Linked DNA regions of Oryzias latipes. The protein of the gene in region 1 interacts with the protein of each later gene in a pairwise test. Links are inferred from orthologs where the notes say so. Each region holds a gene or a part of one and is shown in the gene's direction. Other genes may lie near its edges.

Evidence for each region.
Region 2: the proteins of F-BAR domain only protein 1 (region 1) and exosc5 interact in binary tests that used the Homo sapiens proteins (3 or more experiments, as listed by UniProt). The two-hybrid records come from large-scale screens. The link is inferred for Oryzias latipes from reciprocal best matches to the Homo sapiens genes FCHO1 and EXOSC5.

Annotation. Positions count from the first base shown.
Region 1 is NC_019862.2:14,978,309-14,982,126, reverse strand, and holds part of F-BAR domain only protein 1, read left to right. Parts: coding exon 1-114; intron 115-1,137; coding exon 1,138-2,193; intron 2,194-3,403; coding exon 3,404-3,510; intron 3,511-3,581; coding exon 3,582-3,777; intron 3,778-3,818. UniProt on the Homo sapiens protein: Functions in an early step of clathrin-mediated endocytosis. Has both a membrane binding/bending activity and the ability to recruit proteins essential to the formation of functional clathrin-coated pits.
Region 2 is NC_019873.2:26,312,716-26,317,238, reverse strand, and holds the start of exosc5 (exosome complex component RRP46), read left to right. Parts: upstream 1-1,641; 5' UTR 1,642-1,687; coding exon 1,688-1,784; intron 1,785-2,803; coding exon 2,804-2,917; intron 2,918-3,468; coding exon 3,469-3,590; intron 3,591-3,674; coding exon 3,675-3,815; intron 3,816-4,294; coding exon 4,295-4,384; intron 4,385-4,472; coding exon 4,473-4,523. Other genes in the region: catenin alpha-1-like, read right to left, coding at 1-146, 221-414. UniProt on the Homo sapiens protein: Non-catalytic component of the RNA exosome complex which has 3'->5' exoribonuclease activity and participates in a multitude of cellular RNA processing and degradation events.

The DNA of each region.
Region 1 (3,818 bases):
CGGCGTCGGGTTCTGACGGCCTGTTTGGACCTCCGCTGGAGATGGCCTTCAAATCCAAAAGCTTTGATAGTCAGGAACAGCTCAGAGAGCAGAACACTTTTGGAGCTTCTGAATGTAAGAAAAATCGGTTTCCATTCATGAACCTGCACCCATTTCTCTGAAACCAAGGGTGTATTCAGACTGGACACATTTGGCTTGTTTAAAGCCAACAAGAGTTCGTTTCTCTCGATTTTCGAGGTGGTCTCGGTTCGTTTCCAGTCGGACTGAGCTTCAGATCGCTCTGACATTCCTCAGTCTGAATACAATCCGTCCTTCGGTTGATGATGAGGAGCCAGAAAAATTCCACATCCAGACCTGGCTGACTGGTGACCAGCGGCAACCGCAGCAGAGAAAAGGCTGAAAGCCACAGTGGGAGCGCTCACTCTGCCGCCAAACCGAGGAGCACGGCTGCAGGTCGTCTGCTACATCATTCAAACATTAAGAAAATTTGATTAATTTAAAAAAACATTTATGATGGAATCTTGAAGTTTATTCATGGCAACTGAACTTAAAATATTCTTTCTTGAAAAGTTTCGTCACTGGCGAAAGAATATTTTAAGTCCAGTTGCCATGGCTCCATAATAACGCCACCTGGATGAACGAGAGTCTTCAACAACCAACGGGTTTTTCTGGTCTGAATACACCCCAAAATTCAGATCATTATTTTTAAAATATAATATTCACACAGTGTAATTCCAGTTTTTTAAAGTTACATCTGTACTTTAAAAATAAAGTTTGCGTTTCATGGAATCACTTTGAACCATTGTTTTTCGTTCAAACTCATAAATCATTGCAGAAAGGTATTTTTGAAAATCTAGATGTTAAAGTCTGACTCGAATGAAGCAGATTTGATATGACTTTCTGTAAAAAGTCCAGATAAAAACAGGCGGACACTGATGTCTGACCACAAACGCATGGTTTACGTCAAAGATGAAGAACGTCAGGGCACTCCCAAGAAAGTCTAAAATGTTTGTATTTATCCAGACAGAATCAAAAATCTTCTTTGGATTCGAGGTTTTGGTTACTTTTGCACCTTTAGTTTCAGAAAAACTGTTTGGTCTGGAACTCTCACTGATGGACCTGTTTACTGTCTTTCAGATGCCGCCTTCTCATCTGACTCTTCCTCCCCGGAGAATGTTGAGGACTCAGGCTTGGACTCCCCCTCCCATCAGCCTTTGGGACCCTCCCCTGAGCCGACGGGCTGGGCAGCTTGGCCCCCAGTGTCGCAGAGCAAGGAGCAGACACAAACCCTGGGGCGACCGGTGGACCCTTTCCTCTCTGCTTTTCACGAACCCACCCCTGGACGCAGTGCAAACTCACAGGACGATTATGCCTGGTCTGCCCCTTCCACACGCCCTTCCCGTGGCCCCCCAGAGAAGGACTCCGCCTCTCAGTTTACTGCCTTTTCTCAGTTCCCCCCACCTGAGATGGAGCCTTCTGTGTGGAACTGCAAGCACATTCCCACTGAGGACCCCTTCCTAGCCGTCTTTGAGAGGACGGTCACTCAGGAGACGTTGAACTTTTCCGACCCCTGGACGCGCCCTCCCCCCTGCCAGTCCCAGGATGGCAGGGGCAAGGAGGCTCGCGGAGACCCGTTTACTGTCTCGCTCACAGACACCAAAACCCTCCCAACCCACTCCTCTTCGTCCTCATCATCCTCGTCTAACCGCAGAGACAGAAAGCGGGACCGCAGCCTCCCCCCTCCTGTCACCTCAGACGACCCGTTTGCAATAACAATGATTGGCAGTCCAACTCATCAGTCCTCTCTGGCTGCAGCAGCCGGGGGGGTGATACCCCCCCTCCTGAGCTCCAGCGGCCCCACCGGCAGCAGCGGCAGCAGACCGGGGGCCGACTCCAGCTTGAACTCTTTACCCGAAGCCCAGCCAAAGAACGAGCCGCCGCACTGGAACTCTGTCCACAACCCATTTAACGAGGTTTCCGGCTCCAAGTCACAGGAAGGAGGGGGCAAAGGAGAGACAAGAAAGGGGGGGGAGAGAAGAAAACATCGATCTTCGGAGAGCGAACCGCGCAGGAACGCCCCTCCCCTCACCAGGCATTCAGGGCCCCAGGAGGACCTTTGTTTCTCAACAGACAAAGATCAGGACTGCCTGAACCTGAACACGCAGATCAGCTGCACCATCAGCTCTCAGAGGGGTACCACTAGATTTCCTCTTCTAACTCCATAGAAACGCTGGAAAACCTTCTACAAAACCATCAGATCAACTCTTGCAAATCTAGCTTTACTCTTTGTAGATTCAATAGACGTATTTTAAAGTATTTGTCAAATTTTAGACGCATTTGAACTTTTTTCTGCAAATTACAAATCAAAAATACGTTTTGAAAAGTATTTCTCAGCAAGCATTGAGTCATCCTTTAGTGGCAGAAATACGCAGATTTTAAAAGATGTTCACAAAATAAATATCACAATTCTTATTTATCTGATGAGGGGAAAAGCAGTTAAAAGCGGCCTACCTTGCCTTTTTCTTTCTTTTTTTTTGCAGTTTTCTCATGATAGCTACATCTACTATATACTAACAAGTTTTTTTTTGATAACGAGATCGTAGACGTCGAGATAAGAATAAACTGTAGCGTCCCTTTCCCCCACTCAGACGCTGAGTTGTAATCTGTTTTAGGTGTCTTTACTTTGTGATTACAGTAGGCTGTAAACTAAGCCGTACAGCTTGCCCAACAACGGCAAAGAAACGCTTTTGATTTGTTGCCGTGGCTACGCTCTCCAAACGTCTTGACTACAGTTTTTCCGGTTGCTGTTTTCAATTTCATCAGTGAGCAGATGAAGGGACCAGGCCGTTAACATGGTTACAGAGCGATGCATGAATGTTTTTTCCGTGTCTACAAGCAGGTGATCATAAATGGAAAAGTCAATTTTCAGTGTTCTCGTGCTACCATGATCTTATTATCACAAGAAAAACAATTGTTTTCTTGTAAAAAAGAGAGGTAATATTACGAGAAAAGGGGAGAAAAAAAGAAGAAAGGCAGGCTGTTCACGGCTTCTGAAGTTTTCTTTGAAATTGGTTCATTAATACATACTTAAATATATCAAACCTTTTAAGTTATGAATTCATTAATTGATTATAAAAAAATATAAGAAAATAAGGCTATCTCCTTGAAAATATAATTGTAAAAATAAACTTTAAATCAAAAAAACATATTTCCACATATTAGTACTCACATATATCCCCTTAAATTTATTGCATATAATGATTGTCAAATAGCTTATTGACAATGTGGACTGTACCAAATCTAGCAGATGCTGAATGTTGGCCAAATCCTAAATCTGGGTTGAATTGAAGGTTGGATTTTGGAGCCAGCTTGTTTGGACTCAGCAGCTCTGTATTTCCTTCAGGCTCCAAACACAACTTCAGACAGGACACAGCTGACGTGGCGGCACCTGCTCCTCAGAAAGCGGCCCACGCCAAAAGGTCTTCAGGCCGCTTGAGCGGCTGTGAAAGGGTGAGTACCTGTCATTCACGGCGGTCGAACGGAGCTGAGGGGGCCCTTATTTAAATTCCTCTGCGTTTCAGTCTCGGTCGCTATGTTCTTCACCGCTGCCGGAGCCCACTCCCTCCTTCACCTCCTCTTCCTCCTCGAGCCCCAGCGAGTGGGGGACTCAGGTCCGAGAGTGTGATTGGGGGGGGCAGAACCGTGGGCCCAGCCCTGCTAGAATAGGACAAGCCTCCCCTCTGTCATATCAGCATCAGGAGCTTCAGCAGAGGTCGTGTAAGTTCAAGTCTATCCTGAATCCAGATTCCCGCATTAAG
Region 2 (4,523 bases), on another chromosome or scaffold:
TAAGCTCCTCTCTGTGCTCCGTCAAACCTGGCTGGATGTGGAGTTTCTGAGCCGCCAGCAGCACATGCTGCCCCGACACGGTGACCGACTCAAGAAGGGCGGACATCTCCATGTGCAACACATCATCATCCGTCTCTTGAATTTGCCTAAACAGAGAGTCACTTCGGTCTCTTGTGGATTGACAAAGGCAGATGTAATTGACTAGCAGGAATGCACATACCTGGAGGCCACTGCTGCCATGTTCTCAGTAGCTCTGGCCACAGCGTGAGCCGCTGCCTCCAGCCGGGTGAACTGCTCTGGCTCATGTTCACTGTCGCACAGCAGCACGAGGAGACAAAGGTGACTGGAGATTGGGGCAACCACTTTCTCCACTGCTGCAGTTTTGATAAAACTTTGATCCAGACATGAAGGCATAGTTTCATTTATCGGTGAATTCTTCCCTCTGCGAAAGAATTAGCTGTGCTGCATGTATTATTTATCATGCTACACAAAGTGCCATATGGCAGTTCCCCATAGCAACTGTTGTCACAACGTTATTTAGAATTAATAACATATAAATCATCATTTCTGACATTATTCATTGATTATTGACTGCAGTGGTGGTTCTGCACTAACTTACTCCCAGGGAGAGTAACTCCCCAGTGCAATTTGACGTTCTTTTGTGTTCCCTATTTTTATTTGGCCATTTTACACAAAAGATGCGTGAATTTTGTGGGCTCGTATTACGGGGGTGTCAAACTCACTCACACAGGGGGCCTAAACAGAAAACATGCTTTAAGTTGGGGGCCCAACAACATTTATTTACCAAACTAAAGCTACACTTTAAAAAACAAAACAAAAAATACTTTTAAACCTTTATAACAGAGGTTTTTTAACATAAAAATGAATAAAAACAGACAGTATTGTTAATCCAGAATAAATCAAGTTAAACCGTTAATAACGGTGCTCTCCATAAAAATATATTCAGTCAAAATTATACAAATATGAACATGCTGCAGAACAAAATAAACAAAGTCTGGAAATATTTAATTCAAATTATTCCGTTTTATTTGCTGTTTTGTCAAATTTTTTGTCAGCAAGTAAGTTCATTTCTGCTTGCTGTGTGACGTGCTGTGTGTGTCTTTGTGAAACGTATCAAAGGGATTTGATTTTTTTTTAAACTGCTATTATGAAAACCATTTATAGGTCTTATAAAACATTAAAAACTAAATCATATAACTCCTCACTGGAATTAATCAAAGTTTATTTTGGCATTTTCCTAATTTTGTGCAACACCAACAGTAAAAATTCTCCAAAAAGCCTTAATTCATTCATTAACAAATGATCCATTGTTTATGTCTAATCTCAAAAAGTGCAGCTGTTTTACTGCCTGCATTACCTGCTGTCTTTATGTCAAATACTGACACCAATTAAATGACAGGCATACGTAAAAAATACATTTTATATGGAAAATAAAGACACGTAATAAAAGTGTCCAACAACAACAATAGCAATAATCATAATAATAATAATAATAATGTTAATAATATATTTTTTAAACTACTTACTTTGTTGTTGACTTTCTGACTGTTTTTTATTGAACACAAAATTTAAAACACAACATTGGTTTTGATGCAGAGCCCCTTCGCGTCGGTAAATAGATGACGTCATCGTCCAGCGACGCATCCCCTTCCGTGTTGGCAACGTGATGGAGGTTTCTGCTCCTTCAAATGTTTCTCTCCGAGAGTTTGGCTGCGAGCAGAGTTTACTTTCTCGGCCGGATGGATCTGCGTCTTTCGTTCAAGGTAACAGCTGAAGGAAAATGTTGACTTTTTTCTTTAAGAATATGAGTACAACTCCCGATTCCGCCCAAAGAATTATGGACAAACTTATTATTTCAGAGAAATAATTTGACTCTCGACTGCTGGCAAACGATCTTTAAATGAGTTTTAAGCTAAGAATGTCCTAAAGTACTTTTTGTATTTGCTTTATTTTGGTTTTGCATTAGTTTTAGCTCTTGGTAAATGTTGTAAAATTGTTAATATTCAAGAACAAAAATGAGCAGCTAAATAATAACTAAATATTTTTACGAACTTATCTTTTCACATTTAGTTTTTTGTAATCAAAAGTCAACTGCTGTTAAACCATTAAGAAGCCAAACATTTGAAAAATAATTTCTAGTCATTTTTCTATAAATAAAGATGTTGAAATGTTGGATTCATCTGTTTTACTTTCTGTGTTCAGATCAGCTCTCTCAAATTTAAATATTTATTTCTTGGTTTACTCATCCTCTTTTTTTCATTCCCCAAATCATCTTTGAATATTTGTATCCTAGTGGTCATTGTGAACTGTTTACATCGCCGGCATCGGACTGTATAGTCTGGGGTCTTGGAGCAACATTTTTTCAAAGATTTTCTAATAATTTCCCTATAAAAGTTTTTTTTTGGGGTAATGCTTTAAATTATTTTTTTAATATGACCCCATCTTCTTTTTTATTCTTTTTTTTCAAGATATTGTTTAATATAGTGTATGGGATAGGCTCCAGCAGGCCTGTGACCCTGAAAGAGACAAAACGGGTTTAGAAGATGAATGAATTATATACTATGTAATAATTCTACAGTAAACCTGAAACTGAACCAAAACCACCACTCTAAGCAGCAGATTTGGTCATGCATTTACTGCAAGATTTACACTGTTTTTATGTTTTATAGCCAAGATCAAAGTTTACAGACACAATAAGAATGTAGAAATCACATCATTGTTTCAGGTTTGTCCTCTATTTTAATAGAACTTTGATCTTTGTGTTGTTTTTGTGTCTCTGGAGGGGACACGAGTGTGATGGCTGGAGTTTATGGACCTGCTGAAGTAAAGGTCAGTAAGGAGATCTACGACCGAGCAACTCTGGAGGTGCTGGTTCAGCCCAAAGTTGGTCTGCCGAGTAAGTTCTGCTGCATGTCCTGGAAAAGTCAGATGCTGTCACGTGTGTCTGGTTTTTCTGAAACCAATTCAATCCTTTTTGTTTTTAATCTGTTGTAGAAAAAAAGCAAAAACAACTACTAATCCTTGTTTTTGTTGCTCTAAAATGAATAAATCCAGCTTTAAAGAAGGAAGTCTGTTAAATGTAGAGACAATTATAATCACTTTCAATGGATTCAAATGTTTATATGCAAATATCCTCTTAAGCCTGGTTTCATTCATGTCTTTGGGTTGAATGGAAATCACAGATGCTGTTTTATTTCTACTGAATCACAGTAAAAAGATGAACTTCCTCAGGTCTCATGTGGGTTTTAGTTTCATCTGAAGGCTCACTCGTATCTCAACAGTTCTGCAATTTATAAATAAGCATTAAGACAAAGGTCCGATCAAGGTATTAAAGTCTTTCTTTAGGAATGTTTTGTGCAACTGATTTATAGGATTACGCCATAAGGGGGAGCCAGTGGATTCCTTATCAGCTTTGAACTCATATCCCATCATGCCTCTGTTTTCCAGGTGTGAGGGAGCGCTCGCAGGAGCAGTGTGTGCGTGAAACCTGCGAGGAGGCGCTGCTGCTCACCCTCCACCCTCGATCTTCGCTCACGCTGGTCCTCCAGGTGCTGCACGACGACGGCTCTGTATCCTTTACTAAACCCGACCTCTGAACCCGCGGGGGGCGTGGCCTAGCACCTGCCGAGTCGTCTTCCTTACCTGCTCTGCAGCTCCTGTCCTGCTGCCTGAATGCAGCCTGCATGGCCCTCATGGACGCAGGTCTGCCGATGAGCTGCCTCTTCTGCGGCGTGACCTGCGCCATCAGCGCATACGGGCAGATCATCACTGACCCCACCTCAGCTCAGGAAAAGGTCAACCAAAGATGCTGACACTAACCTGAAAATCTTCATTTTTGCTGCTTTGAATGTAGAAATATAATCAGAAAGCAAGTTTAACAAAAAGTTCTCAATTTATGGTTTAATTTTCATGAAAAAAAGTCACATTTCATAGAATCCCTAAAACATGGATGTCGGTTTTCATCAGATCACACCCCTGACCTAACTTTACTGGTGAAACAAAAATCCAGCTGTGTAGTTTAGATCCAGATTCCAGCTCAGGGGAGGATAAACAAATTTAAAGGCTAATAAAAATTCTAACTTTGCTAAAAAAAAATGGGTTCATTTTCCACCAAAACTATTTTTTTTTTATTTCATAAAAATGCAGTTTTTCTTTAGTGTGTCACCTTCAGTTCATCCTTTTGTCTCAGTGTTTCAGTTCTAAAACAGTTTGCCTTTAAAATTGGTTGTCTGCCCGTCTGGCACTAAAGTCCTATTTTAATTTCTTTTCAAAGGAGAGTCGAGCTTTGATGACTTTTGCCATCGACAGTAAAGAACGTAAAGTAATGATGTCATCCACCAAAGGATCCTTTTCCGTTCATGAGGTCCGTCCAGCCGTTTTTCCATCATCTTCCGCTAAGCTCTCATTTCAATCCTCTCAGATGTTTCTTGTCTTTCTTCTGCTGGTTGCAGCTGCAGCAGTGTGTAGCGGTCAGCCAGAGAGCCTCAGAGAGGATCTTCCAG